4 linked regions of the Pelodiscus sinensis genome follow. The protein of the gene in region 1 interacts with the protein of each later gene in a pairwise test. Links are inferred from orthologs where the notes say so. Each region holds a gene or a part of one and is shown in the gene's direction. Other genes may lie near its edges. The genes, in order: CEP63, CCDC14, TBC1D15 and DTNB.

Region 1 (7,454 bases):
TCATTAACCTTTTTCTCTGTCCTTCCTGTGTCAGGCTAGTTAAAGGCTGTAAAAGTTGGTTGGTAGTTGCTTTCTAACTCTAACAGTAGCTCCCAAATATAAAAGAATAGCTTTCGGTCTATAAAACATCAAAGCCACCACAAAAATTCACCAAATCACTTCTGAGATCAATGATCAGTTTTCAGGTAGTGATAACTACCTCTCTGATCATACACAAAAAGCAATTAAGATTAAACGAACTGGCACCAACTTATAAAGAAGTTGTCAACAGGACTCCAGAATTTTTTGCATTTGTGAAAAAGCACTCGGCCACCTCCTCTCAGTTTTAGGGTATGTCATAGTTATTTTACATCAGTCACATGGGGCCTTTTAAACTGTAATGTGCTTTTGTGGAATACAACAGCTGTTTGAGACCAGAAGGTTTTTTAAAAGTTTTGACTCGTTAAAGCAGTGAGACAGGAGATGGTGAGGATCTGCTGGAAACCGTCTTCTTGCATTGAAATCATTCCATGAAATAACACTGATTTACTAGTTTCCTGTTGGGGGAACATTCTCATGAAGATATTGCAAAGCCAAGTCTGTCCATTTCATTTCTTGTTCTTTTACGGACTCTGTTGTACCACCATTGTCTTGTTCTGGTTCAGGAAGTTCGTTCTGAGAACACAAAAGGGGCAATGCATTCTATACCTTCAAAGCACCCTGACAAGATCAGCTTAGCATCATTTCATACTGGTACATGCACACATCTGCAACTAAGGCTGAAGGGAGCATCAGAAGAGCATGTACTGTACATACTGCTTCCACTAAAAATATCAACAAATCCAAATATGGGCATTCCATTTCCACAAGAATTCTGTACTTCGTTTTAGGAGTTGATTTCCTAACTTGACGGCTGGCTGACCCAAGCGTACACAGCAAAATAAATGATTGTAATGTCTGGTAAACATAGAATAAGTAGATATCAACGCAAATAGTTTATTGCCTGTGTGCAACCTTTTTCTCCCATAATAAAGTCCAAATATGTAAGTATTCTATGTCCGAATTTTAAATAAGGCATTCTCTCAAATCTCTCTTTTCTGTCATACAGAAGGTAACAAAGAGCAAAATAAGCAGCACTCTGTCTGGAATTTGAGGTCAATGGCTCTAAAGAGGCGAGGCTGTGCTAGTGCCATACAGAACACTGGAAAGCACTCCCGAGGTGCTTTTGCCTTAGGAACAGAAAACTGATGAGTCTACAGCTTGTCAGGATGAGCAATAGCGTAACTGTTTTGTTTTTCTCTTAACCATCTTTCTCTGCGAGTGCTATCATAACTGTGCAGTTGCTAGACTATGCGTAATTCCCCAGAATATCATCTCGTTCCTGGGTCTTGGCATCCTAGCGAGAGACAAAAGAGCTCCCCAAACTCTAGGAATTTGTTCACGGAGGATCTGATCTAAAGCTTGCTGAAGCCAATGGGAGTTTTTTCATTGTTTTCAATGGGCTTCAGCTCAGACTCTGAAGGCAGTAGCAGCAGTTAGGGCTCAAGCTACTGGTGGTCACCTACTGCCCATTGCTCTAAGCACCACCCACTTTTTAGTCAGCTCCTTCTTGACTTGGGAATGAAGGAATATCCCAAAGCTGCCATTCTGGTTTTTAGCTTGCCAACAGCCAATCCTATGTCAATGGCTCAGGTCTCATGGGGTCTTTAGGTCCACACTCAGGCCTTTTCTACTGTTAGTATGAGCATCTGCAGGGCAAGCCCAGGAAACCTCAGAAGTATGCTGTAAGGAACTCTTCCTCCACTCTGGGCATGCGCCTCAGTCTCCAAGAGTAGTTACATAGTTCCTCCCTCCACCCACTACCCAAAAAGGAGTGACGCTATCTAGTTAATTGACCATAAGATGAAACAAGTACCAGCACTGAAGAGGTTTCTGTATTCAGCCAGCTTAACGAGGCACATCCCAATAAACTCCAACAGGTAGGAGAGTTTGGGCTTCCAGAACTTAAAAAGAGAACCACAGTTCCGCACGGTGGAGATCGGATCATTCCCTAACGCTGGAGTACACCTGCAGAGGCTAAGTGAAGATAGTGAGTTGCTATGCATATGTCTGTGATAGGAGACTAATTCCCTTCAAGTAATCTTCTCACAAACTTTGTCTAATGTAAGAATAAAGAGAGGCTTGAAGGTTTTGAGTATGCAAACGTGGGAGGGAAGAAATCTAGCAGGATGAGTGGCCTACAATTTGGAAGTCCATCACTACTCTAAGAAGGGATCTTTGCAAAAGGTGATGCAGGTACAAAAGCCTGAAGTACATACACTCCGTGAGCAAAAATCATGGCTGGCTGAGAAGTGTCTCAACATGAAAGGCAGCCTGTCAAAATAGAGTGGACGAGGAAGGGCTTTATCCAGTTAATTAAGGAGAAAATCTCAAGATTTATCAGGCTTAAATGAGACGTTTCCGTTAATAACAAGGCTGTATCTATGCCTAGAGACAAGGGGCTGTGAAGATCCGGGTGTGCTATCAAGTAATCTGTGACAGATCAAAGATAGTTGCTAAGTGGACCTAGGAGTTTTCCCTTCTTCACTCTTGGCTAGCAGTACTGGAAGTATATAAGTGAAGGGGAAGTCTTTGGGTCCTCCCCTCTCCACTCGGGCCAGCAGCATAGCACTTGAAAAAGCTGAGGAAGAGGTTAGTCCTGGAACCCGCTCCTCACAGACTGGTGGTACTAGGAGTATGAGGGGAGGATAGAAAGAAACATTCCACCCTCCAAAGAAACAGGTAGCTCGCCTAGATTATGGGAAAGCATTTTCTCCTTCCAAAGCGAGGCAGTCAGCTGCAGGGAGAGAAGCACTTATTCCTCCACCAAGCCGGAGATATGCAGAGCTGGAAGAAATCCACCACCCCGCATAAAATAAATGGGAAGCTGGCCCCTGGAGTGAGGGAGCATCATTCATACAACTGTCAGAACTGTAAGGCACATTTCCTATGCCATGCCTCTGTTAGGAGGTTAAAGGGGGTAGACACATAATATAGGCTTATAAGCAGCTTACTGTGTTCACCTACCAAAGGTATTGCTACATCCTCGTATGGTAATTTATCTTCTCTCCATGCATCATCGATCAAATCCAGGATTCTTCCATCCCTCTGCACTTCACTGTCCATCTTTGCACAATTTACATGCAGATAGATCTGCGACATAAAGCAGAAATTATCCTTGATATCTAGAACCCAAAAAGATGGAGCTTAGATTCTATGCTTGCCCTGGCCATGACTCCTTTCTTAAATAGCTTAATGGCTGTTTTACAGTCAGTAGGGCATGGCACAGTTGTTTTTCATAGTTATTAATACCCTCCATTGTTTGTATTGCCCTATGAGACGCATGAACATGTTTCTTTTCCTACCAATTCAGTTTTTGTCCATGCAACAAACTAGCACATGTACGTGGCTTTGCTCAGGTTCCTAAGGTGTTCAGGGCAGGGAACTGGGAAAGTGGGGTGGGTAAGAGTCAGAGTGGGAGGGTAGGGAGGGGATCTGGCCAGGGGACTGTGGTGTGTGTGTGTGTGTAGCGGGGTAAGCAAAGAGGCTGAAGCTCCTTGAGTTTTGTACCAGGGTCACTTGCTCTTCCTCTTCTTGTCCCTGCCAGAGAACGAGAGCAAAGTGCACAGCTCGTCTGCCCCGTCCTCCCCAGCCAGAGGGAGGAATGCAGCACACTGTGCACTTTCCCCGTGCTCCCCAAAGGGAGCCAGCAATGTCCTCGTATTAATCTGGGGGAAGATGCGCCTCCCCTTGCCCTCCCTAACAGGTGTCTGCGGGGTAGGGCTGGGACCTGCCTGGTGATTCTCTCTCTTCTCAGTACGGTGGTATGAGAGTCAATCCCATTCCAGGCGCATCCCATTGTCCTGCACAACCCGCCCCTGCCCTTGCTTTAAGCTGTGCTCAGTGGAAGCGGCGTCCTGGCTTCGCTGGCCCTCGCTCTCACGCTGTAGAAACAGACAGACTCTCTCAGACCTGTGGCCGATTGTTTCCCTGCCTGTTCAGAAAGGGGCTGACATCGCCTCCCACGGGTGACGGGCCACGGCCCGGCCCCACCGCAAACACCTGTTGTGTCCCCGGCGGTGTCGGCCCCACACAGGCGAAGGCCGGCTGTGCTCCTGCGCCCAGGGCACCCCCCGCAGTGACCCCTCAGAGCATCTCCAGCGCACCCCCCGCACCAGCGCTGCGCAGCTACCCGGTCGCCATGGAGACGCCCCGCCCAGGGGCGGGGCACCGCCCGCCAGGCTCCGCCCCGCCGGGCATGCGCAGTAGCAACCCGGCACAGCGTCCCCTCCCCCACCCGCCTCCGGGCCCGGGGAGCAGCCCCCCCGCGCGGGGCTGAGGGGCCCCAGCAGGGGGCCGGGGCGGGGGCAGCCCTTCCCCCCCCACCGCGCGGGCCGGCCCCTCCCGCCTCTGGGCCTAGCCCCGCACCTGACACCCGGCGCGCGCGCCAGCCCCGTCCCGCCCCGCGGCCCTAGCAGCGGACCACGTGACCGGCGACTCTAGGCCGCGCCAACCATAGAGAGGCGGCGGCGCGAGTCCGCCGAGGAGAGAGAGGCCGGCCCGGAGGTAACGGCTCGGCGGGGGCGTGTCCTGGGTCGGACTGTGCCCGCCGTGAGGCGCTCACCCTCACCCTGTCTGACTGTGCCTGGCGGACAAGGGGCTGTCGCCTGTGCGGCGCTGGCTGTCTGCTGAGGTGACTGGAGGCGGGGCTCTGACTGTTGTTGGCCTTGTCTGACTGTCCCTGGGTGGCTGTAGCTTTTTGTCCGGCTGTGAGCCCGTGGCTGTTCCTGTGGGGCTGGGTCAGACTGTACCCTGCTGTGAAGCTCTCGCCCTTTCTGTGTGGCGAGGTGACTGTAGCCGGGGGTTGGCCGCCGTGTCTGACTGTCCCTGGGTGACCAGGGGACTGTAGCCTTTTGTCTGTCTGTGAGCCCGTGGCTGTTCCTGTGGGGCTGGGTCAGACTGTACCCTGCTGTGAAGCTCTCACTCTTTCTGTGTGGCGAGGTGTCTGTAGCCGGGGGTTGGCCGCCGTGTCTGACTGTCCCTGGCAGACAAGGGGCTGTCGCCTGCTGCCCGCCTGTGCGGTGCTGTTTATAGAATCATAGAATACTAGGGCTGGAAGGGACCTCGAGAGTCATCGAGTCCAGTCCCCTGCCCTCATGGCAGGACCCAGTACTGTCTAGACCATCCCTGATATTATTGCTGTCTGTCTGTCTGTCTGCCTGGTGAGGTGACTGTAGATGGGGGTCTGACTGTGGCTGGCCTTGTCTGACTGTTCCTGGGTGACGAGGGGACTGTAGCCTTTTGTCCGTCTGTGAGCCCGTGACAGTTCCTGTGGGGCTGGGTCACACTGGGTCAATGTCTGACTTTACCTGGCTGTGAGTCTGTGTGATGAGGTGACTGTAGCCTGGAGTCTGGCTGTGGCTGTTCATGCAAGGCTCTGTGCCCCCACCCCACTGGGGCTGTATCTTCACTGCAGGGATGTGGGGAAGGCACATGTTTCAACACCTTAGGACTGGAATTTGCACCTTTATCACAAAACGTGTTGATGAGTAAGTCTATAAACTGTGCTTTGGGTGCCCTTGTCACCCTGGAACTGCAGGTATTTCTGTGGGCCCCAAATTATGAACAAAAACTGAATTGGTAGGAAAAGAATGTTGTGTTCAGACTATGGACAAACCCCCCAAGAACCTGGGAAGTTCCCTTACTGGTAGAGACACCTTTTCAGTCCATCTTCCATCTAGTCTGGTCTCTGACAGTGCCTGATACCAGATGCAAAACTCCATAGTGCACTAAGTTGTGCAACAGTAGCACTTAAGTCATTTTCAGCACTGGTTCAGGAAGGCTCAGTGCAGGCAGTGTTTCAGAGTAACAGTTCAATATCCCAGTAGTATCTGGGACTTTTAAAGACTTACTTTCTGCCTTGGGTTTGACTTAAAAGTTGAGCTTGGTTTTGTTAATTTTGGATACTAGGGGGCTGAGCTTGGTTTTGTTAATTTTGGATACTAGGGGGCTGAGCATTCTCAGTGGAGAGGCTGTGGGTTCCTCCATGCTTGGCCCAGTTAGCTGACTTTAGGGGTACGGATGTTAGATAGTGATTAATTGATTAGTCGTGTAACTGCATCAAATTTTAGTAGTTACACAACTATTTGATTGTCCCCGGGGGCAGGGTCAGCAGCCAGTGTGCTCCGGCCCCACTCACGGGGCGCCCTCCTGCTGCCCCACGCTGTTCCTTCTCTATCGGAGGCAGCAGCATGGGGTGGCAGGCGGGAGCTGGTCTGTGAGGGGAGCCGATTTAAAAATTGGCTCTCGATGCAGATCAGCTCCCACCTGTTGCCTTGCGCTGCTGCCTTTGATACAGCAGAGGTTTATCGATTAATCATGTATTCGGCTACATGTTGACATCCCTATTTCAGGGCACATTTCAGAACCTGCTTTAATAATTGCCATTGTAAGGTCCGATGTCTTGCACTTCAGGAGATCTAGAAATGAAGTCTATTTTATGGCCTTGGAAAGTTGGGAGACACCCTCCCTCTTTTCAGTGGTAAAACTTTCAAAGGAGGAATGCAGAAGTGCCTATCGAGTAGTTGATGGAAATTCCGTCGACTACTCAACTAGTAAATTAATCATTATTTAACATCCTTAGTGTACACGGACACATTCCATTATTCTGAATATCATCCTGTGTACTCAAGCCTAAAATTCACTTCAGCGATGCTTCTTGCACTTACAGTTGGGGTTATACTTAAGCATTTTATTGAATGCTTAATATCTGACGCTGCTTTAGCAGCTGTCGTCTTGTATTGTTAAAGCATTAATTTTTAGCTTTATGCCTTCTGCAAGCTTGGAAGTGCACTCTGTAGTTTTGTAAAATGTCTGCTACTAGAACCATATCAAGTGTCAGAAAAGAAAAAAACAAGCAATATGATACAGTGATGTAATTATAAGGTCCAGTAGCTCGTTACCTTTCAAAGCTAGAAACACCTGTGGCAGGTCAATACAAATGCTTTCAGCATCAATACACTTTTCTAAGCACAAATCCAGGACCACTTCAGGAGATGGGGGGTAGAGGAGGGAAAGATGCTTGAAGGCTCTTTTCTATCTGTCATTGAAAAACTAGGGCTGCGTCTAGACTGGCATGATTTTGCGGAAATACTTTTAACAGAAAAGTTTTTCTGATAAAAGTATTTCCGCAAAAGTGCGTCTAGATTGGCACGGATGCTTTTGCGCAAAAAGTGTTTTTGTGCAAAAGCATCCGTTGTCAGTCTAGACGCGATTTTGTGCAAGTAAGCCCCGATCGCCATTTTAGCCATCGGGGCTTTTTTGCGTAAAACAGTTCTTCCCTGTCTACACTGGCCGTCTTGCACAAGTATTTTTGCGCAAGAGGGCTTTTTCCCGAGCGGGAGCGTGAAAGTATTTGCGCAAGAAACACTGATTTT
Region 2 (7,351 bases), on another chromosome or scaffold:
AACTGGAGTTGGAGGAGAGGCAGGTCAAGAGGACTTGCCATGGGCATGTGGGGAAGGATGCCAAGATGCCAGTTTGGCAGGAAGCCTAGAATCCAAAGTGTGCCCCAGTGTAATGGGGGAGGGATAGTAATGTCTCCAGAACTGCTTTTGAGAAGGCTTCTGATTTGAACTCAACTGAGCCCATGGCAAGCTCCGCTGTTTAACTCTCCTGAGTGACTCCAAGGTCATAAAGGTGTTCAGAAACTGGGAACAAAGAGGTGTTACTCCTTGGCTACGTCTACATTGGCATGATCTTGTGCAAATACTCTTTAACGCAAGAGTTATTGCGTTAAAGTATTTGCGCAAGAGAGCGTCTACACTGGCATGTGCCTTTGCAGAAGAGATGTGCTTTTGCCCAAGAGCATCCATGCCAGTGTAGACGCTCTCTTGCGCAAGAAAACTCCGATGGCCATTTTAGCCATTGGGCTTTCTTGCACAAGAAATTCATGTTGCCTGTCTACACTGGCGTCTTGTGCAAGAACAGTTGCGCAAGAGGGCTTATTCCTGAGCGGGAGCATCATAGTTCTTGCGCAAGAAGCACTGATTTCACACATTAGAACGTCAGTGTTCTCGCGCAAGAACTCCCCGCCAGTGTAGACAGGCAGCGTGTTTTTGCGCAAAAGCGGCCGCTTTGGCGCAAGATCGCGCCAATGTAGACACAGCTGTTTGAACTGACATGTGAGACAGATCAGAAAAGATTTCAGCGTGCCGTCAAGACCCTGGGCATCACCTATAAGGAGATAAGCTCCTTGCTGGGAGAGTATCCCTGCAAGTGGGGAAAAAGTATGGGTGTCCACTTCTGCAGAGGACATATATCTGGTAGGATCGGAGCAGCTGTATAACATCCTTAAGATGTGGTTAGTGGACCAGATATACTGGCAAACAAGTTTATAAACAGAAGACCTGGAGCAGTAGCGTAAGCAAGCTGCAACACTTGGGTGGACCCCAATTTAGGGTGGGCAAGCAATCAAAGGAGGTTGGGTAGGAGGCATCAGGGCCACCTCTCCCCTCCTCCAGTCCTCTAGCGGGTGATAAGCTCTCTTGCCAGGGGCCCTAGAAGAATGGGGGGGTTGAAAAATGTGCACCCCCATCTGTGCTGGCCCCCCTAGCATTCCTGCAATAGCATGGGAATGGGAGATTTCCTCACTCTGCCTGGCACTTCTGCCAGGGAGTGAGGTTGGAGCATGGGAGTTTGTCCAGCTTCGTTTGCCCAGTGCTCCTGCCAGGGAGTAGAGTTCGGCGCATGGAAGCTTGCCCCTCTCCACATGCCTGGCACTCCTGCTGCAGAGAGAGGTGTGAACACAGGGGCTTGCCCCTCTCCAGTGATCCAACTGGTAAGAGGGAGGAATGGCATCGGACTTCCACTCCAAGCTGGGCATTGGCACCTCTGATCTACAATGGGAGCAGAAGGTGGTGATCAACAGGGAAACATTCACAGAGTGAAGAGATTCCAGGGCTGAAAGAACTCTTGTCAGTGTGGTGCAACTTGGATGCTGAGAGACTATATAATTTGCAGGAAGGTCCCAAACATAAAGGCATTCATCTTGCCTATGGCTCAGAGTCCAATGCAGACACAGGAAGGATGGCAGGGGTGGGGCTGGTGTCCTACAGCATGTGAGCTTTGCCGTACTACTAGAAAATGACCATGTCTCTTTAAGACAGGATCCAGCGATCCAAAGTTGGAGAGGGCAGGAGCCAATGATCATGTAAAGGGCTCAGACAGTGAGGAGGGAATTTTCCCTTTGAAAGTAGCAAAAGCGAAGATCTATGAAGCTCGGGTTACCTGCTTGTCCATAGCCAGATCCTTAGATCTGAGTGGAACAGTGGCCCTGCATGTGGGAAAGGTGGCTCACACTGACTCGGTTACTGTAACCAAAGCAGTGGGCTCATTGCCTATATGGGGCTAACGTGATGACAGCCGAGGTGATGGACCCAGATCAAGTAGTGCTTAATGCATGTCTAACTCCGAAGAGGGTGGCCAGTGGGAGGCAAAAGGACTGTGGAGAGATGATCTGAACAGCTGGTTCCAGCCAATGGAGAACAAAGAAAGGAAAGGAGGAGGTCCAGGCAACATGTTTACCCTGGACCATAGATGAAGGACAGGGGCAGAGTAATTGGAGGTGATGAATGATATAGGATGATCAGCTGAAAGGAGGGGGCTTCTGGACTGGGGAGAGAGAGCAGCCAGAACCTCCCATCCCCCCAAATGCAGGAGAGACCTAGATGTATTATGCTGAGGGCTGCTAGGCTTTGAGTCTAGAGAGTTTCCTGAGCTGGATTCAGATCAGAGCCAGCCCGATCCATCCTTAGGCCCCGGGACTTGGGCGCGTGGTGCTGCCCCCAGGCGCGCAGCTCATTCTTGCACCCCGGGAGCGCAGCACTTGCGCGGCCCTGGCCCCACCCGGCTCAGCAGCACTGCACGGCGCTCCTTACAATCGGGCGCCCCAGGCTATCACCCGGTCAGCCCGTAGCTTGAGCCGGCTCTAATTCAGCTGCTCAGGGAACCCTTCTGCTTTACACTCATTGCATTGTTCTCTCTGCTTATGGGGGTCCAGAACAAGTGGCCTTCCTGAGACAGCTCACGTGAGAGGTAGCTGTGCTGAAGAGTCAGAGAGGTACAGTTCCAAGAGGCGGGGGGCCTACAGCTTACTAGCCAAGAAACAGTGGCTCCCAGAGAAGGGATGTCATACTGAAAGGGGTTGGTCTCAAAGATTGTATGAAGTGAGAGTATGAGTCCTGTAAATCATGACAAGCTGTTGCCAGAAGCTAGGCATGGGCGACCAGGGATAGATCATTTGATGATTCCCTGTCCTGTTCGTTCCCTCTGAAGCACCTGGCACTGGCCACGGTTGGCAGACAGATTAGGCTAAATTTGGGGTAGGTAATAAAACAGCCTGGCTACGTCTAGACTGGCATGATTTTCCGGAAATGCTTTTAACGGAAAAGTTTTCCATTAAAAGCATTTTTGGAAAAGAGCGTCTAGATTGTCACGGACACTTTTCCTCAAAAGCACTTTTTGCGGAAAAGCGTCCGTGCCAATCTAGACGCACTTTTGCGCAAAAAAAGCCCCGATCGCCATTTTCGCGATCGGGGCTTTTTTTGCGCGAAACAAATCACAGCTGTCTACACTGGCCCTTTTGCGCAAAAGGGACTTTTGCCCGAACGGGAGCAGCATAGTACTTCCGCAAAAAGCACTGATTTTTTACAGTAGGAAGACAGTGCTTTTTGCGGAAATTCAAGCGGCCAGTGTAGACAGCTGGCAAGTTTTTCCGGAAAAAGCGGCTGATTTTCCGGAAAAACTGGCCAGTCTAGACACAGCACCTGTGAATGGTGTCAAGCCTGCAGGCTGTTTATTGCCCATCCCTGAGCTAGAAGGACCTTTGTTCTGACCCAGTCTGGCCATTCTTATGTTCTCACAGAGGGTCACAAATCTTCGCTCCTCTCCCCTTCCCCATTCTGCTGCGCACCCAAAAAAGGGCCAGTTCAGCAGTGCAGCTTGTTCTCGGCTGCGAGCGGAACAGGCAGCGGTTTGCTAGGCGTGACAGCTGCACAGGGCTGGGGGATTCCCGGAGGGGAACTGGAGCATTGCGGGGGAATGACTGAGCGGGGACCCAGTGGTTTGGAGACGGGACTGACTCCTGAAGCGGGCAGCCGGCGGTCACGGAGCAGAATCCGGCCGATTCCCTGCTCTCCGCGCAGAGCGGGCGGCTCCGGCCGGCTGAAGGCGAGGAACCTCCTGACTCACTGGGCTAGCCCGGCTTCTCTTCTACGATTGGTTGACTGGGCCGCGGTTTCCACCAATCCCGACCCTGGTTTCCTGACTCCGCCCTATCGCTCAGCCCGCTCGGGCTGCCGCCGGCGGCTTGCAAGGAGGGAGGGAGCCGGTAGGGGCGGGGCTGTCGCAGGCGTTGGGCCTGTCCGCCAAGTGGGGCTGGGATTGGCCGCGCGCTTGTGCCCCGGCGGTTGGCGGGCTAGCTCCGCCCCCAGGCTGGGGACAGAGGGAGCTATGGCGAGGCCGGGCACCCTCCGGCATCACAAGGTACCAGAGGTGGGGGCGGGGCGCGGGGTACGCGCGCTCTGGGGCGTTCCTCTGTGAGGGGGGGTTGGCCGCCTGGAGCGGCGGTGTGAGGGTCTCTCTGGGGGCCTGGGGCAGGGAGTAAAGAGCGTCCTTTTTCCGGGGCTCCCGGGGCGGGGGGCGGAGCTCTCGGGAGGGGGGGTCACTGACTGAGGGGGGTTGGGAGGTGACTGGGCTCCCTGGGGCGGGAAGTGGACTCAAGGGGCGGGGCTTGGGCGGAGAGGTGAGTGGGCTGCCAGGTTAGGGGTGTAAGCCAGTAGCCCCCCCTCCACCTCTATGATAAGGGGGGGGGGGGACAGAAGCTGGTGGTGGGAGGAGCTGACTGAAAAGCTGGTTCCCCTGGCCCAGCGCCATCTCTGCAGTGCTACCTGCTTTTCTCCCCCGCCCCCCATCAGAGGCAGCCTGGGAGGGTTTTTTGGGGGGACTGCTCTGGCAGCAGCCCAGCCTGGGCTGCCACAAACAGGCTGCTGGACCCAGCGCGAGCTGGGACTGAGCAGTCCCAGGTTGTGCTGGTCCGGGCCTGCTGCGGTGCTGCATTTTAAAAGTAGTAAGAGCTGGCTGGCTCTTGCTACCTTTAAAATGGTGAGCTGCAGCAGTCCGGAGACGGCGTAAGCTGCTTGGTCCTAGCTTGTGCCAGCTCCAGGAGCTATCTCTCCCCTCCCCCAGCTCTGCAAAGCACCTTCTCTTATCAACCAATCATGTAGTCCAGGGGTTCTCAAACTTTGTGATACCGAGACCCCCCCCCCCTCTAAGTTGCTCACGACCCCCCCCCCAGGGGGTCGGGACCCACAGTTTGAGAAACGCGGATGTAGTCTATACAAATTGTATCAACTACACGATTAGCCAAATAACCGCTCCTTGACATCCTTATCCTAGGTCAGGGGTGGGATCTCTGAGGGAGGTGACTCACAGTTCGGGGACTCTCTTCAGGAGGACTTGCAGGTAACTGGACTTACAAGTCCGGGGAACTCTCCTCTGCTGGTTACTAGGTATGTTAGATAGCAATTTAATAATTGTGTAACCGCATCCATTTTAGCAGGTACACAATAGTCCCTAGGTGCGGGGTTGGCAGCCTTTGTGCTCTTGGCCCCACTCCTGGGGAGCCCTCTGCCATCCCGTGCGTCTGCCTCTCTATTAAAGGCAGCAGCCCTCTGTCCATGGTGACCCCAGGCCTACTGTGGACAGAGGCTGCTCTGTTGCAGCCTTCCCTGCCTGCTTCCCACTACCTCTTTGGGAGGAAGCAAGGGGGACAGGTGGCTTTGCAGAGCTAACACAGGCAGAGAACTGGAATAAAAGCTGGCTCCCCACATGTATCCATTCCTGCCTTCCACCCCCTAGCCCCAACCTGCAATGATGCCTCTGAGGGAGAGGCAGCAGCATGGTGGTGAGGGGAAGACGGCTCCGTGGGATCTGATCCGCATGGGAAGCCAGCTTGAAAGCTGGCTTTCTGTGTGTACTGGCTGCTGCCTGCCCCTTCCCCTTCTGAACTGCTGCCTCTCTATAAGAGTCACCAGTGCGTGCAGGGGGAGGGAGGGGTACTCTTCAGGATCTGGTTCTTGTGGGGAACCATCTTAAAAGCAAGGGGGAGGGTAGTATGTGTAGTTGATAGGATTAACGAATAAGCCCAGGTTTATTTGTTAATCATGTAGTCTACTACATAGTGGTTACTAAGGACGGGTGGGGTTTTTACTGGGAGCCTAGATGTGGGATGCAGGACTCCCAGGGCCGGACTAAGGGGTGGGCGAGCCGGGCAGCTGCCCGGGCTGCCGCCCGGGCTGCCATCAGGCGCCGCACGCCCGGCTCCCGCAGTGCCCCCCACACCCCTATCCCCGTGGCTCCAACCAGCAGCGCCCTTCCCCCCACGGCTGCGGGACCCTGCATGGTCAGGTGCTGCGCGCTAGCAGCAGTTGCTGGGCCAGGCAGCGCATGCGCTGTGCGCCCCGGTAGCAGACCCTGAGCTGCCCGCCAGCGGCTGGGCAGCACATGTGCCGTGCGCACCGGGGTCAGGCCCGCGCATACACCGTGCACCCCGGGCACCCATGCTTGCTGGCTCCCAAAATGGCTCGGGCCAGCCCTGAGGACTTCCCACATGGGAGTGAATGATAGACTCAGTCTCGCCAAGAATAGGGCTTAGGTGAATCTCTGTGACTCTCCTGGTTGGTGGGGCTGGTGGCAATTCTCCCTCGTGCTCTCCTATGACCATTTGGTTTTATTTCCTCAAAGGCAATTGTCAGCAGCTGCTTAGCTTTATCTTTTGTTGTGGATTCATTCCCAAAATACATTTTACTGTCTTGTGAGTTTTGCAAAGTGTTACAAGAGGACATCTGAAATCTCTTTCCGACTTACTTGCGCTCTCAATCATTTAGATTCTCCCAGGTTTGAAAGTCAGGGGTTGCAATCTGCCTTTTTGTGTCAGTCTTAAGAGGAGAAAATTGCGGGAACAACATTCCCTTGTTCACATCACTAGTTTGCCTACTCATGTCAGGTTTTTGTATCATGCTAAGGATGTTAAAATATGGTTAATTGATTAGTCGATGGAATTTCTATTGACTAGTCAACTAGTCGATAGGCACTTCCGCATTCCTCCTTTGAAATGTACAAGCGCCCCAGCTGAGCCCAGGCTCCCCTCCTGCCCCTTTTAATTGTACGGAGGCAGCAGTTTCAAAGGGGCAGCCGCTGCATAGCTGATCAGCAGTGCAGCTGCTGTCCCTTTGAAATTGCTGCCTCCATGTGATTCAAAGGGGCGACAGGGGAGCCTGGGCTCCCTGTGAACCTGAGATCAGCTGGGGACTCCCCAGATGATCCGGGTCCTGGGGAAATGCTATGGGGAGCCTGGGGTCAGCTGGGGAGTCCACAGCTGACCCTGGGCTCAACAGCAACTGCTCCTTTGAATCGTGCAGAGGTGGCATTTTAAAGGGGCAGCCCGCTGCACAGCTGATCTCGGGATTGACTGTGCAGCTGCTGTCTTGGGGCACTGCCACTTTGAAGTACCCCCTCCCCTTTTGCTGCCTCTATTTTATAGAGGCAGCAAGGGGGGGTGGAATTGACTAGTTGACATTACTATCCGATAAGCAAATGCTTATCAGATAGTTGACTAGTCTTACATCCTTATATAACATCCTTATATCATCCATGAAGAAATGCTGTTGTGTCATTACAATGCTATATGAAATGTGAAAGATGTGAGGGAGATCTCTGAAGATCAAGGATAGTATGAATTTTTGGGATGGACTGCAG
Region 3 (7,941 bases), on another chromosome or scaffold:
ACTATTTATCACATTACTATTTCTACACTATTAGTATTAAAACATATTGGTTTGTTAGTATCCCTTATTTATATGCTGTTAGTTTTATTATAATTGCTAAACGTATTGGTATTACAATTAAATAATCTAAACTTAATCTCTAAACTTATCTTTTATTTTACCATTTTAACCACTTTTAATTCCTAAATTGATGGAGAGAGAAACACTCAAGGGAATGCGTATTTATTCTCCTAATATTCCTGTAAGCATGTACCCGTCACCTGATTTGTACCTTATGATGTCTGCATCTACTGCTGTATATTACTAGAAGATTTACCTGGCATTGGTCAGGCCCTTAACTCGATTAATTTTTTTTTACGGAAAATAAAATGAAAATGTACACACTCCATTTAAATCATTGCTCGAGGGTGTGACTGGGGATGATGGGTTCAGTACGCTGGCTGCCCCGGGGAGAGAGGACTATCCCAACCTTCTGTCACCGCAGCAGCTTGTGCCAACTTCAAGATATTTGCTGTTAGCACTGATCAGTACTATGTCAAGCACCATTTTAATGTGCCCTGATTTGTATCTACTATGTGTGTGTTCATTGCTTTTTTTGTTGAACTGGTTCAAAATATGTCCACAGCCTGATAACTGACACTGTTTGTAGTTGGTGTATTTAGTGAATGCCATTGTATGTGCTTAAATGCTCTTGTATCTGGAGCAGGTCTGGTACATGTGCTTCCAATCACTAAATCCACGGTGGTTGGACATGTCTTCAGAATAAGAGTGTCAGAGGAGGTAGCCATGTTAGTCTGTAACTTAAAAAAACTTAAAAAACAACCAGTAGCACAAAAACAAAAACCCCAACAACCCAAAAACATACAGTATCATGAGCTTTCGTGGGCACAACCCACTTCTTCAGATGAGTGGAGCAACAGGCACAGAGGCAGCATTGTGCCTACAAAAGCTCATGATACTATATATATTTTTGTTAGTCTCTAAGGGTATGTTTACACTACAGCGTTATTTCGAAATAAGCTATTCCGAAATGGTTAATTCGAAATAGCTTATTTCAAAATAACGTGTCTACACACAAAATGCATTTCGAAGTAGAGTTTTGTTATTTTGAAATAGCGCGTCCACACTGAGTGGATACTGAATCGCACTTAAGGCTGGCTGGAACCAGGTCTGGCAGGGCATCAGGTCAGGATTTACTTTGTGTGGCTGCTGCCTGAGGCTGTCTGAAGCCTGTGCTTAAAGGGACCCCTCCTGAACAGCTGGTTCCCTACTTGCTTGCCTACCTCGATGAGGGACAGCAAAGCATTTTGTCTCTGCGTGCTCTGGTTGCCCTCACTCAGGACACTACAGCACTCTGCAACATGGAGCCAGAGCTTCCCCGTGCACTCTGGTGCTTCTCTTGGACGTGTTGTTGCGAGCCTGGCTGGACTTTCAGCAGGCTGCTATCCGGGAGGTCCATTGGGGGGCAGTCAGTATCCAGGAGGCCCTGCGGGAGAGCTTCCACCCTGAGGAGCACTAACAATCTCCCTGGTCTGCCCCACTGGGGGCTTGTGCATCATTCCTCCCTAATTTCCTTCCACTTACTCCCCGCCCCAGCTCCTTTTCCTTATGTCAAATAAAATACATGTTTTTTCATAAACACAAACTGTCTTTATTTAACAAAGCTAGAGGGGGGATGAAACTCCGGTGAGACTGGGGAAAGGAGGCGGGAGAGGGGAGAAAAGAGGGTTGGAGAGGGGAGGGGGAAACCTGAGAGGAGGAAGCTGGAAGGGGGAAGCAAGGGGAAGAATGGGGAGGGGAAGCTCAGGGCTTACGGGTGGAGGGGGGTCTAGCCGGACCAACTTGATTTTCATGCGAATCTGCTCCTGGGTTTGCATATGGCCTTTGGTGGCCAGGCTGGCAGCTATCCTGCCATAGATGGCCACGTTCCTCCGTCTAGTGTGGAGATCATGGACATTGGGGGCATCCCCCTCCAAACCTGAATAAAGTCCATGATCTCCACCCTGGACCAGGAAGGCGCCCGCCCTCTCTGGGCCCTGGCAGGCTCCTGGGAGCTGGCAGACTGCTCCTGGGGAGCAGTGGAGGGCTGGCTGCCAGTGGCTTGCTGGCTCATGTTTTGGGGTCACTGGGTCAGGGGCAGTGACTGCTGGCTCTGGGCTAGCAGGCTTGGAGCTGGCACAGGCACTGTGGCCAGAGTCTACCCCTTAAAGGGCTCCAGGGACGGGAGAGGGGAGGGAAAAGAGTGTTCTTGGTTGAGGCTGGAGTGGCCACCAGTGAACCCTGGGAAGGCTGGAGGCCCCCTATTTCAAAATAAGTGTCTACTCAGCACTTATTTTGAAATAGCTATTTCGAATTTGGTGCTATTCCTCATAGAATGAGGTTTACCAAATTTGAAATAAGCACTCCGTTATTTCAAATTTATTTTGAAATAGCAGTTTGGCTGTGTAGATGCTAGGAAAGTTATTCCAAAATAACTTGGCCTGCTTCACATACCTGGCGCTTGTGCTGGGGAGCAGGGTGGGGGCTTACAAGCCAATACGGCTCTCTGGCAAGTCTGCCAGGCGGGAGGAGCAGGTCAAGTCCTCAACCAGGCTCCATGGCTAGAGCACTGGAAGGAAAGAATCATCGAATCATAGAAACATAGAACTATAGAACTGGAAGAGACCTCAGAAGGTCAACAAGTCCAGCCCCCTGCTCTAGGCAGGATCAATCCCAAAGAGTGGGGACAAGCCCTGTACTGCAACCCCAGACCTCAGAAGGATCACTGAGCGGTGGAACTGGGCAAGCCCCTGCACCCTGACCCTGCTCCTCAGCAGGGGGAGTGCTGAGCAGGGCAGGCAGTGCTGGGGCAGGAGCAAAGCTGAAATGCCACTGGGAGGGCCTGGATCATCAGTGGGTGGGCTATGGCCCAATCAGGCCCACGGGTGGCTAAACCACTGCTGCTACCAGTCAGTTGTGAATCAGTTTGGAGTTGGAAAATCCACCATGTGGACTGTGGCAATACACGTGTGCAGAGCCATTGCCTCCTGCTACAAAGAACTGCAACTCTCTGTAATGTGCGGGAAATGCTTGATGACTTGAGGCAATGGGATCCCCTAACTGGTGGGGCAATAGATGCAGGGGCAGCCCATGCGCCTACGTTGCTGTTGGCCCGGGGCTCCCGATGATGACGTCACAGGGCGCCTGGGCACCCAATGATTACATCATGGCCATTGACAGCCATGCAGGTGGGGGCACCGAGAGCGTCTTCTGCCTGGGGCACCAGCTGCCACAGCTGGCCTCAGGCAGCTCCTGAATAGATGGAATTTACATATCCCAGGCCAACTTGCAAAGAAGTACATCAACCAATGAGAATGCCATTAGCTATCATCTTAGAAAAACCATGAAGGCTACGTCTACACTGGCCCCTCTTCCGGAAGGGGCATGTAAATTTCACGAGTCGTTGTAGGGAAATCCGCGGGGGATTTAAATATCCCCCGCGGCATTTAAATAAAAATGTCCGCCGCTTTTTTCCGGCTTTTAAAAAAGCCGGAAAAGAGCGTCTAGACTGGCCCCGATCCTCCAGAAAAAGTGCCCTTTTCCGGAGGCTCTTATTCCTACTTTGAAGTAAGAATAAGAGCCTCCGGAAAAGGGCACTTTTTCCGGAGGATCGGGGCCAGTCTAGACGCTCTTTTCCGGCTTTTTTAAAAGCCGGAAAAAAGCGGCGGACATTTTTATTTAAATGCCGCGGGGGATATTTAAATCCCCCGCGGATTTCCCTACGACGACTAGAGAAATTTACATGCCCCTTCCGGAAAAGGGGCCAGTGTAGACGTAGCCTGCAAGTCAGGAGATTTATTTGGGCATAAGGTTTTGGGGCTAAAAAGCACTTTGTCTGTTGCACGGAGTGGTTTTTACACACCAAAGCTTATGCAGCCCAAATGTGTTAGTCTGCCATAGTGCACTCCTCCTGTGTGTTCTTTTTAAACAGCTAGGCTGTGTCTAGACTGGCAAGTTTTTCCGCAAAATCATCTGCTTTTGCGGAAAAACTTGCCAGCTGTCTACACTGGCCGCTTGAATTTCTGCAAAAGCACTGACGATCTCATGTAAGATCGTCAGTGCTTTTCCGGAAATACTGTGCTGCTCCTGTTCGGGCAAAAGTCTTTTTCTGAAAGACTTTTGCACAAAAGGGCCCAGTATAGACAGCACAGTACTGTTTTCTGCAAAAAAGCCCTGATCGTGAAAATGGCGATCGGGGCTTTTTTTGCAGAAAAGCGCATCTAGATTGGCCACGGACGCTTTTCCGCAAAAAGTGCTTTTGCGCAAAAGCATCCTGCCAATCTAGACGTGCTTTTCCGAAAATGCTTTTAATGGAAAACTTTTCCGTTAAAAGCATTTTCAGAAAATCATGCCAGTGTAGATGTAGCCTTAGAGACTAACATGGCTACTCCTCTGAGTCTGGTCCTGAAGAACAGCAGCACACAGGCCCCTTTGGACACAGGAGCCTAGCTCAGGCCACGCACCAGTGGAAGGGAACTGGAGCAGCACCGCCCCCTGGCCCCTCACACCCTGGGGGGGGGGTTAAACCCTTGCACGTGAGGTCTGGAGGCCGGCCGGTCAGTAGCGGGGTGTAGGGGAGGGGCGACGCCACAGGGCCTGGCTGGGTACAGCACGCGCCGGCAGCTGCTGAGTGAGGGCGAGCACGTGACAACCGTCCGCCACATTGGGGGTTTCTCCGCCGCCACGAGGCGACCGGCCTGCAGCGCATGCGCCGCACTCTCGGCCGTGGGGCTCGCGAGAGGCGGGGGGCCGAGGTTGTTGTGAAGCTGTTGGAAGCACGTGAAGCGCGCAACGTCATCATAAACACTAGTAGGGAAAATGGCGGCTCCTGCCTGCGGAAAGGTAACGAGCGGAGGGTGTGGGGGTAGGGAGGCGCCCGCTGCCCTGAGCGGGCGCGGCCTGTGCCGACGGGAAGGCCCGGCCGGGCCCTGGTGCTGCCGCGTGTCTCTGTCTGTCCTGGGCGGCGGGAGCGAGGCCAGGCCCCCCAGAGCGCTGGGCTGCACGGGGGAGCAGGGCTAGGTAGCCTGGCTGGCAGGGGACAGGGGAGATCCCTTCTGCTGCTGGGGAGGGGGCCCCTCAGGCCCTGGCGCCGAGTGTCCCCGTGGAGCGGCGGGGGGCAGAAGGGGATGGGATCCCTGCGCTGGTTCTCGGGGGACTCCTCAGTGGGGGAAGGGAGGCGCTCGGTGACAGGCAGCGGCCGCCTTCGCCCCTCCCAGGGAGCTGGTGACATCGGGTGCCTGGCCCGGCGAAGCGGCGTCGTGCTGCCCGTTCCCACCAGCCTGTCGTGCCGCAGCCCCGGTGCTGGGGGCGGCGGGTTGTTGGTCGGCTCTGCCTTAGTCTGGCTGAGGCAGCTCCGCTCCACTCGGCGGGGCGTGCGTCGCTGGAGAACGCCCGGCCGCCGGCCAGCCCAGCGCTTTGGTGAAGCAGTGGAGCTGTCCCGTTGTCCTTGGCCTGGTGTGCAGCAGCCTTCTTGCCAGGCTTTGGCTGGAGTGCAGCGAATGTATCTATCTTTCCACACTTTTGGACAGGGATCGGCAACCTTTCCACACCAAAGAGCCAAACTGCATCACAGTTCAGAACAGTGGTCAACAAAAAGCCGTATCAGAATGGCCGTGCCTGAAAATACACAGCTTAATATTCTTGATAATTGACATGATGATTGATAGTAGTATAAATGAAACTCTTTACTTAGACTCCCTTTGGCCAGTGCTCTGCAGCCACAAACGGACTTGCAGGGAATCATGGGACCCCCCCAGGTGGCAACAGAGCGGAGGTGACACAAAGGAGAGAAAAGGAAAAGAGTGGGCAGAGGAGATAAGGCTCTGGAGAGCACTGCTGAGAGATGGGGCTGGGCCGCTACAGGGCCTGGGGGGTGGGGGGGAGGAGGAGACAGAACTACAGGTTTGACCTTACCACCGTGCTGGGGCCCAGCTGGGCACATGTGCTCCCCGCAGGGTGCCCTTGTCCTTTGCAGACCTCAAGGAACCCGAGCACTTACCAGCCAGGTTCCCACCAGCCCTGTGGTGTGGGGCGGTGGGAAGCGACTCTCCACAGAACCCCCGGGAAGGCAGGAGGGAGACACTGGAGCCATTGAACCTTTCCCCTGAGCTGGAGCTGGGGCCAGGGCTGCATGATGGCTGCCCAGCTGTTCCTGAAGTGGGGACTGTAGCAGCTCCTGGGACTGTCAGGGCCAGATTAAGAGGGGGCTAGCCAGGCAACTTCCCGGGGCGCCAACCTATGGGGGGCACCTGATTGAAATGGTAAGGGGCGCTGTGTGCCCAGAGGATGGGCCGTGCACGCGCTGTGCACCTACTGCCCAGGGCGCAAGTATGGCTCAGTCCGGCACTGGGGCCGGGGCTGTGGTACGGCTGTCCCCAGCCCCTGGGGCAGCAGCTATGTGGCCTTGGCACCAGTCCTTCCGTAGCTCTAGCCCCAGCACATGGGGCAACTGTGTGCCATGCAGCCCTGCCCTGGGAGCAGCCGAGCAGCCATCACGTGGCCTTGGCCCCCCACTCTCCCACCAAGCCCACCAGCAGCAACAGCTTACTTTCCATATCCAGGGAGGGTGACAGCTGCTGTGTGAGGAAATGGACAGGATTAAAATTTTTTGTGTGCACCCGTGGGGAAATTTTTTGTGTGCACCCCTACAGGGAACTTAGCCCATCATCTGCCAAAAGAGCCATATTTGATTCTGTTGCGAGACGTAGATTGCTGACTCCTGCTTTAGGATGTTGTGTGGTCTGTAAATAGAACATAGTTTAAGATAAATCTAATAATTCAATATATGCAGGGCTCTACCATGAGTCAAAGGTTAAATGAGCACTCATTAGGTGCATTCATTAAGCCTTTGATTCATGGTAGAGCTCTGCATAGAACTATTTTATTAATCTCCCACATCATTTCATTTATTTTTATCCCACTTTTACCTGCAAAAACCTTAGATTCTGTAGGAAAGGCAAATACACACAAAAATATGGGTTACAGTTGCCAATTTTCCTGCCTGGATAAACTGTATGCCATTGTTGCAAACAGGTGCGGCATGTTTGCAAAAATTTGGTGGTGCCCAGTATGTCCTGACCCCACACCCGTTCTCCAATCAAGCTCTTCCCCTGCTTCCCTCAAGTCTCTGAGAGGGAATTTGGGTTTGCAAGGTGTTCAGGCAGGGTCATCCAGGGGCTGGCAAATGTCCTGGGAAAACTGCCCCCAGTGCCCCAGGACAATCCTCCCACCCCAAGGCTCTGCTCTTTCCTTGAAGTCCCAAACCAGTTCAGAAGCCTTCTCCCCCAAGCAACCTGAGCTGAAGGTTTGTTTGTGTGTGTGTGTGCGCGTGCATGCCTGGCAGGGCGTGGCAGCAGGCCTCATCACTAGGGATATAAAATTCTGGTTAATCAGTTAGTCAACCAGTTAAATGTTGGATCATCCTAACATTTAACTAACTAAGTGGGGTCTGAGCTAGGGACTGCTCCAGCCAGCTGTAGCAGACCCCAACCCCATGCTGGGTCTGGCTACTGGCTTCCAGCCATCTGCCACTTGTGCCCAAATCCCAGTCCTGGGACTAGGGTTTACTCTGCTTGCTCCCAGCCTCCAGTGGAGCAGCCCATACCTGTGGGGCACACAGACTCCCCCCTGTTTGCAATGGGCCCACTGTGGGACTGGAGCAGCCCCCTACCCATGGAAGGCAGGAAGCTGCTCCAGCCCCCACCAGTTACCCGGATCCAGTAAGGATCACCCATTTAGGATGATTGAGGCAGCTGCCATAGGGCCCACCAAACTCCCTCTAAGAACCCCTGTGGCTCTGGGTTTGGGTTCTGGGAGGGAGTTTGTGTTCTGGGTGCAGGCTCTGGGCTATAGCAGGGGATAGGAGGATGGGCAGGCTCGGTGAGGAAGTTTGGGGGTTGTAAG
Region 4 (8,365 bases), on another chromosome or scaffold:
GCACCTGTTTTCCTCAGTGCAAACCATTAAACGGACAATGACAAGGTAAAACAATTTCTGAGACACAGGTGGCTATTCTGGCAGCAGTATCAGTCCTAAGAATGAAGACACATCATCTGCAAACCTGGCTGATACCGTCTGACATTTTTGCAGATTTCCCATAAGTACACTGGCACTTCTGAAGCAGGGCCACAAGCAGATACTAGTGGGATCAAATTATCATGTGACCCTGGGATGACCAGCAGTTGGTCCGAAACTTTTTCATTAAGAAACAGACATGCCTAGATCAGAATAATGAACTGCTTTACTGGCCTTCCAGTACCAGGACATGTGCATGAGGGATGCCATACCAATCCAGAAGTGGCTTGCTATAGCCATTTGGAAGCTGGCAACCCCAGATTGCTACAGGTCCATGGCAAAACACTTTGGTGTGGGCAAATCAGCTGTGGGGGTTGTGGAGGATTGTGAAGCAATTGGGAACATTGTTCCTGCAGAAGCAGTAGGTATAAACAATGGTCCTGAAATAATTACTGACTCTGAGAAAATGGGCTTCCCAAATTGTGCTGGGGCTATCAGTGGGACTCATATGCGCACAAATGAATTATTATATAGGCCTTGGTGGATCACAAAAGCGGTTCATTTGACACCAAATTGGGATGTACTAGCTAAGGATGTGAAAGGTTAATCACTAAGCATCGCCCTAAGTCAGGGGATGTGATGTATCTTGACTTTAGCACAGCTTTTGATACAGTCTCCCACAATATTCTTGCCTGCAAGTTAAGGAAGTATGGATTGGATAATGGACTGTAAGGTGGATAGAAAGCTGGCTAGATTGTTGGGCCCAATGGGAAGTGATCAACAGCTTGATGTCTGGTTGGCGGTTGGTTTCAAGAGGAGTGCCCCAAGGACTGGTTTTAGGGCTGGTTTTGTTCAACATCTTTATTAATGACCTGGAAGAGGGGATGGATTGCACTCTCAGCAAGTTTGTGGATAATGCTAAGGGGGAGAGGTAGATAAATTGGAGGATAGGTATAGGGTCCAGAGTAACCTAGACAAATTGGAGGATTGGGCCAAAAGAAATGTGATGAGGGTCAACAAGGACAAATGCAGAGTCCTGCACTTGGAATGGAAGAATCCCAAGCATTTTTACAGGCTGGGGACCGACTGGCTAAGTAGCAGTTCAGCAGAAAAAGTCCTGGGGATTACAGTGGATGAGAAGATGGAGACCGTGTGCCCTTGTAGCCAAGAAGGCGAATTGCATATTGAGGTGCATTAGGAGGAGCATTGCCAGCAGACCCAGGGAAGTGATTATTCCCCTTTATTTGTCACAGGGGAGGCCACATCTGGAGTATTGCATCCAGTTCTCCCCCCTGCTCCCCTCGTTACAGAAAGGATGTGGACACATTGGAGAAAGTCCAGTGGAGGGAAACCCTAGGAGGAGACGCTGAGGGATTTGGGCTTGTTTAGTCTGCAGAAGAGTGAGGGGGGATTTGATAGCAGCCTTCAACTTCCTGCAGGGAACTTCCGAAGAGAATGGAGAAAGGCTGTTCTCGGTAGTGACAAATGGCAGAACAAGGAGCAATGGTCTCAAGTTACAGTGGAAGAAGTCTAGGTTGGAAGTTAGGAAACACTGTTTCACTAGGAGGGTGATGAAGCACTGGAATGGGTTACTTAGGCAGGGGGTGGAATCTCCATCCCTAGAGGTTTTTAAGTGCCAGCTTGACAAAGTCCTGGCTGGGATGATTTACTTAGGGTTGGTCCTGCTTTGGGCAGGGGGCTGGACTCAATGACCTCTTGAGGTCTCTTCCAGCTTTGGGATTCTGTTACTCTAAATGGATGATACTTACCAGTTCCAGTTAACCAATAACAGGTGTTGGCTGCAGCCAAGGGCAGGGGGCTGCTCCAGCCCTGCAGGAAGCCCCTCTGCAGACAGGAACTGCTGTCATTCAAAGCAGCCTCTGTCATTGGGTAGCCCAGGTGCCCCACAGGCAGGGCCTACTCCAGTGGAGCCTGGGAGCTGGCAGCAGCCCCATTGTGGGGTTGGGTGCAGAAGCCCCACAAGGTCAGGGCTGCTCCAGCTGGGCTGATGCAGTCTATAGCCCAGATCCCACTTTTAGTCATTTAACCAGTTAAATGTCTAACATTTAACTGGTTAACTAATTAACTGGGATTTTACATCCCTAGTACTCGCAGGGTGCATGTTTGGATTTTTCAGAGCCCAGGATTATAACTTCATGGATAAGTAAGGATCTTATTCCCTTCAAGAGATATTGTAAATTGAGTTTCTGTCCTCACTGTTATACCAGGGAACTCTGCATGCCACCTTGTCACATGGCTTACCATACCTTGACTTCAGAGGGTATGACCTAGGCAGCCCATGGCACCAACAGGCTGAAGACATAAAATGCACATATGTCAGACAGGAATCCTGAGTCCAATAGCTATAGAATAGTTCACCAAAGGGTGACATATAAGGTCTTTACTGAGAGCCAATAGCCAGTGGTCATCACCATTATTGTGAAATGTATGAAACAACAGTATTTTAAAAGCAATGTATCCCTACTGGAACTTATGTTTTAAAGCCTTGAAGGTTAAAGGCAGGTCACAAAAGTGACATGCCTCATGTCTGTTTCTCACTATACTAAGTTACCAGCTAAGCAAGGCAGAGACACTGATGAGACTTTGAAGTCAAGAAAAAAATACACAGCAGCAGGATGCATGGTTTATTAATAAAGATCAAAGGACTGCTCTGATATATCTGGGATTGCCAAGGGTGAGGTAAACTTAAGAAGAGAATAGCTTTTGAATTAAGTCCCGATTCTTGTTGTTTTATATGTAACCCTTTGTTTTCAATAATTCTATTTGATATCACCTGACTCTCTATATTTTGTTAAATAGATATGATTCTTAAAAAAACCAAATAAGTGCTATGTATTACATTTGTGGACAGCAAGATTTTTAATTCTGAAATGGAAATTGTGCTGGCTGTAAGATGTTTTAGGTAGGAGTCAAATTTAGAAACAAAAAAAAGTGATAACTACTCCAAGATGTGTATGCAAACCAAATGTTGTCTGCCTGAGACACCAAAATATGACATTAGATTGTCCAGTTATTCGGAATCATAGTGCATGCTCTGCTAAATTGCTTCCCCTTAGTATGGCTATAATGCCCAACTGGCCTCTTCAGAAGGTGGAGATTACATGGTTTACTAGACTCTGAGACTTCTTCAGTGTAGCTCTTTTTTAAAATGGGATCATTTAAAAAGGTAGGCGTATTCTCCTAAGCTTTTTCCAATATTGCTTCTCCAAAGCGATAGTGTGTACTGTCTTCTATCTGAGGTAAATTCTAACATGCCAATGTGCGGATGATCAGACCAATACTTTGAACACAAAGTACAGGTAAATTAGGTTACAAGAAACAGGCGATTTTGTTAATGGCTGATGGAGAGGAGATGAGGAGCCCTGTATCTTGGGAAATCCTGGCTCAAGTGTCCCCCAAATTAACCACTAAGCCTATCCTTCATCTCTGTGAAGCATAACAAATGTCAAGGTGCTGTTGGTCACCATATGGATTGTAGAGCTAAGAATAGTAGTATTTTAAATAGTGGCTGTCAATTAACCATAGTAAAGCTGTTGCTCTGGAGTAATAGCTGGTGATGCTGAAGAGTCCGCTTCACTGACTGATAATGATGATCTCTAGCCCAGACAAGGGGGGAAAAAAGGCTCTTCTACTAATTTACTATCATTGCTGAATTTGTGGCTCAATTGAGTCGTCATGCTCCAACATTCCTGTATTTACGGTTCTGCCTCAGGTTGCTGCTTCCTGGGAATGTTCCTTCCTTGCCTCTGCTGGTGCCCTGTCCAGGCCGGAGATCATGTGATTAGAGGGGCTTTGAGGCATATTGACAGAGAACTCTGCCAACGCCTAACCAGAGTACAGCAAACTGTAAGTGCTCAAAAATCATGGGACTGGCATCTATCTGTCCATTCATACACACCCTATGTATCTATCCCCCCACACCTCCTCTAGCTATCCATCCATTGCCATGCATCCCACACCCTCTCGATCCGTCCATCCCCATACACCCCCTCGATCTATTCATTGCCCCACACCTCCATCTATCTCCCTGCTATTTATCCATCCGTCCCCATACACCTCCTTTATCCCCCCTACACCTGTCCGTTCATATAATCCTAGAGCCAGAAGAGATCTCAGGTCAGCAAGTCCAGCCCCCTGCTCTAGGCAGGACCAATCCCAACTAAATCAACCCGGCCAGGGGTTTGTCAAGCCGACACTTAAACACCTCTAGGGATGGAGACTCCACTACTTCCCTAGATAACCCATTCCAGTGCTTCACCACCCTCCTAGGGAAAGAGTTTTTCCTAATATCCAACCTGGACCTCTCCCACCACAACTTGAGACCATTGCTCCTTGTTCTGCCACCCGTCACTACTGAGAACAGCCTTTCTCCATCCTCTTTGGAACCTCCCTTCAGGAAGTTGAAGGCTGCTCTCAAATCCCCCCTCACTCTTCGCTTCTGCAGACTAAACAGCCCCAAGTCCCTCAGCCTCTCCTCGTAGGTCATGTGCTCCAGACCCCGAATCATTTTGGTTGCCCTCCGCTGGACCTGTTGTCTGTCCCCTAAACTGCCTCCATCCATCCCGCCACCCCCCCACCCCCCCCCATACCCCCCCGTGCCCCACCCCCGCTATCTGTGCCCCATCCAGCCCCCCCCCGTTACCTGTGCCCCATCCAGCCCGTCCGTGCCCTGGCTGAGTTGCGAGCCTGAGGGGAGCGCGGGCCGCTCCACTGCGGGGCGGGGCGGGGGGGGCGGGAGCCGCGGGCCCAGGGAGGCTCGGCCGCGCACCTGAGGCGACGCGCGCGCGCTCGGGGCTGCAGGCAGCGGCCCGTTGGCGGAGGGAGGGGGCGCGGCGCGGAGCGGCGCTCGCTGATTGGCGGCAGAAGCGCGAGGGCGCGGCGCGGAGCGGCACTCGCTGATTGGCGGCAGAAGCGCGAGGGCGCGGCGCGAGTCGCCGGACAGAGCCGTTTGCCGATTGGCTGAAGCGCTCGCTCGTCCGAAACCGCTTCCGCGAGGCGGCCGGGGGAGGGGCTCGCGGGGCGGTTTGAGCGCGCGCGCGGAGGCCGCCTCGGATTGGTCGGAGAAGGCCTCGCGAGGCCGGCGCGGAGGCGCTCGGGAGCCGGGAGCGGAGCCGGGGCCGCCGCCTGCCGCCGCCTTCCCCAGGAGCGGCCTCGCCCCCGGACAAGTGAGTGCGCCGGGCGGGGCGGGGCGGGGCTGCTCTCCCAGCGCCGTGCGGGGTCGCTCGCCGGGCTCCCGGGGCCGAGCCCTTCTCCTCGGCCGCCGCTGCCGGTCTTCCGCCCGGGCGCGCCTCGGGGCAGGGAGCTCGCTGCGGGCCCCGCTCCGCCAGCGCGCGCGCCTCCCCGCCTTTGTGTCCCTGCTGCGGGTGCTCGGCAGCGGCCAAGCGGGCCCTACGGGGGTGGGCTGCCCCGTGTGTCCCGCGGGGCGCGGGCTCCTCGGCCGTGTGCCCCGGTGTGAGCAGGTATTGGCGCTGGAGCGGCAGTGCTGTTACCGAGGTGCTTTCGGAGAGCCCCCCCCCCCCCCCCCGTTAGACACCAGCGCGCCTGTGAGAGGCCATTGCAAAGAGCGGAAACGAAACTAGGTTGTGACATTTCTGAGACTCCGACTGTGAAAAGCAAACAGGGGGAAAAAAAGCTCAGGTCGCTTTTATACAGGATAAAGAAATAAACAGCAAATTCCCCCTCCCCCCCTTTTTTTTGTAGGTAACTTTTTTAAAGATTCAAAAAGAAATTAGGGTCAAAAGTAGAAATTGCCCCAGAGAGTTTTCGTGTAATCTAGGTAATCACGATTGATTTAATATTGTGCGGTATTGAACACAGGACTCTGTACTTGAACCGATACATACATTACATTATTTAACCAGCTTTTTGTAACTTACATTTGATGTTATTTTTGACAAACACACAGTAAATATACAAAGTACATCTAAGTGAGAGATCAACTTGTGAAAAATAACGGTTGTACCTCCCTTAACTGAGACTCTCTGGTCCGGCAACATCAGAGCCCAGATATAGGGAAGTTGGGCCACAGATGGTGATACTGCTGAAAAGGAACTAGGGATTACAGTGGATCAGCAGTTGAATGAGTCTGCAATATGATATATTAGTACTCCCCAACTTTTTCACGATTACAAGTGTAGTATGTCCATCACTGAAGTTAACTGTCTTGCTCTACTCGTTGTGCCTCCACTGTAGTACAGAGTCCTGTTCTGCACGTCACGTGTTAGGAAATAAGATTTTACAAACTCTGCATGCTTTATCTTCAGAAAAGAGAACTGAGGGGATGCATTGTAATAATTTTCAAATGGATTAAGGACTGTTAGGAAGAGAACAGTGATCAGTTATCATCCCTATCCAATGAAAGTAGGGCAAGAAGTAATGACGTTGATCTGCAGCAAGAGCAGTTTAGGTTAGGGATGCTAAAATTAGGTTATTTTAGTAATCAAGTAGTCAATAGAATTTTTATCACACCAGGACCAAACCTTGCTTATCAGTTAATGCTATCTATTAAACTCACCTGGCTTCCAGGGAGGCAGCTTCACTGTGGCATCCGTGTCCCTGGGAGTGGAGGTGGCAGGGGCTGGAAGCCCAACTCCCAGGGAGGCTTTGTTGTGGGCTCTGCAGTATCTCTCTATATAAAAAAGTTTTTTCCTGCCAGATGACAGAATGTTTCTGCTGGGCGACAGAATGATGTCATCACGTTACCTGCATCAATGGGCTTTCTCAGCAAAGTGAAAGCGGGTAAGCGAGCGTAGCGAGCAAAGGTGCAGCCCCCTAAAAGCTTAAATAAGAAACATATTGAATAGAGCAAGACAGAGCCCACAGTGCTTGTAGCTGCTAAGATTTTCAGTGGTTAAAGAGTTACTGTTTTAGCTAACTTCTTACATCCTTTATACTTGGGGGTAGCCGAGTTAGTCTGTACAGGATAAACTTAGAAAACAACAAATGGTCTGGTAGACTAACTTTATAGACTTTATAGACACTTTATAGACTAACAAAACGTATAGCTGGTATCATGAGGTTTCGTGGGCACAGCCATCTATATTTTTTGTTAGTCTATAAAGTGCTACCAGACCATTGGTTGTTTGTTTTGCCTGTTAATTGTTAGTTTAACTAAAAAAAGAAACATTCAATCTTTGCATAAGCCTGTAACACCTCACAATCAACTCATTTCATAACTCCAAATAGATCTGTCACATCAACTCTATTAATAAACTACTATTCTAATACTCAGAACATCACTTTGAAAATTTATAGATGTTTGATATAATTTAATCTGTCCTAGCGCTCTTTTGAAATCTTTACTCATTATATCTTGCTTACATTAAAAACCAAGTACAATGTGAGAAGTATATTTTCATTAATGAACAAAACAAGTGGCAAGATGTTATGCAAACATGGTATGGTTTTAGTGTCTGCTACTATAGTATACAGTCTTTCAGGATGTTGGACAGAAAATTATACATTTGTAGCTGTGTGTGTACTCTGAAATGTACATATTCAAAAAATTACTTGCTTTGCAGTAATCCAGTAGAGAAGAGCAAATTTTATCTGAAATTTGTTTTGGGTGTGGCAAAGGCCACATAATTCAGGTGTGCCAATATATAATTCTGTTGTCTTCATTTTGTCTCTCTAATGTATCTCATTGTAAATCAGGCCTTGATTATAACCGTCGGTAAGAGTTCATATTTCCTTCCTTCTCATCAGTATAAAAAAGCACTTATTTATTTTGATTTTCATTTATGTTTTTATTTTACATTGACGCCATATCTTAGCCTTTCATTACACAGGTTGAACCTTTGTGATCTGGGACTCTCTGGTTCGGCTGGACCACAGATGTTGCTGGGCTAGAGAGCCTCAGAACAGAGGTTACTGGCAGCTTGGACCAGAGCTGGCTGATTGGGGTAGTGTAGCCCATAGGGCACCAGAGTCCGCAGCTGGCAAGACTGGGTAATTGGCAGGGATGCCAGAGCTGGCAGGGCAGGGAGGCAGCAGAGCTCACAGTGGGCTGGGGAGCTGGTGAGGCTGCTGGAGTCCACATGATGGTGCTGCCAAGCCCGCAGGTAGGCCTGGGAAGCCTCTGGGGCCTGGAAAGGGTGGGGCTGCAGAGCTCACAGCTGGTGGGATTGTGAGCTCCTGCAGGGTCACTGCCAGAGCTTGTGGGATTGCTGGGACCACCGGAGCTTGTGGGCCTGCAGAGCCTGAAGGGCTGCCGTAGCCAGGGGCTGAAGGCAGTGATGCCAGGTAGCAGGGGAAAAGAGCCTAGCGG

Evidence for each region.
Region 2: the proteins of CEP63 (region 1) and CCDC14 interact in binary tests that used the Homo sapiens proteins (3 or more experiments, as listed by UniProt). The link is inferred for Pelodiscus sinensis from reciprocal best matches to the Homo sapiens genes CEP63 and CCDC14.
Region 3: the proteins of CEP63 (region 1) and TBC1D15 interact in binary tests that used the Homo sapiens proteins (3 or more experiments, as listed by UniProt). The two-hybrid records come from large-scale screens. The link is inferred for Pelodiscus sinensis from reciprocal best matches to the Homo sapiens genes CEP63 and TBC1D15.
Region 4: the proteins of CEP63 (region 1) and DTNB interact in binary tests that used the Homo sapiens proteins (3 or more experiments, as listed by UniProt). The two-hybrid records come from large-scale screens. The link is inferred for Pelodiscus sinensis from reciprocal best matches to the Homo sapiens genes CEP63 and DTNB.

Annotation. Positions count from the first base shown.
Region 1 is NC_134720.1:1,059,473-1,066,926, forward strand, and holds the start of CEP63 (centrosomal protein of 63 kDa), read left to right. Parts: upstream 1-4,430; 5' UTR 4,431-4,711; intron 4,712-7,454. Other genes in the region: ANAPC13 (anaphase-promoting complex subunit 13), read right to left, coding at 529-654, 3,046-3,144. UniProt on the Homo sapiens protein: Required for normal spindle assembly.
Region 2 is NC_134717.1:10,226,802-10,234,152, reverse strand, and holds the start of CCDC14 (coiled-coil domain-containing protein 14), read left to right. Parts: upstream 1-3,908; 5' UTR 3,909-4,045; coding exon 4,046-4,078; intron 4,079-4,934; exon of another isoform or gene 4,935-5,103; intron 5,104-7,351. UniProt on the Homo sapiens protein: Negatively regulates centriole duplication. Negatively regulates CEP63 and CDK2 centrosomal localization.
Region 3 is NC_134711.1:65,588,791-65,596,731, forward strand, and holds the start of TBC1D15 (TBC1 domain family member 15), read left to right. Parts: upstream 1-4,677; 5' UTR 4,678-4,857; coding exon 4,858-4,881; intron 4,882-7,941. UniProt on the Homo sapiens protein: Acts as a GTPase activating protein for RAB7A. Does not act on RAB4, RAB5 or RAB6.
Region 4 is NC_134713.1:428,791-437,155, forward strand, and holds the start of DTNB (dystrobrevin beta), read left to right. Parts: upstream 1-5,110; 5' UTR 5,111-5,264; intron 5,265-6,754; exon of another isoform or gene 6,755-6,837; intron 6,838-8,365.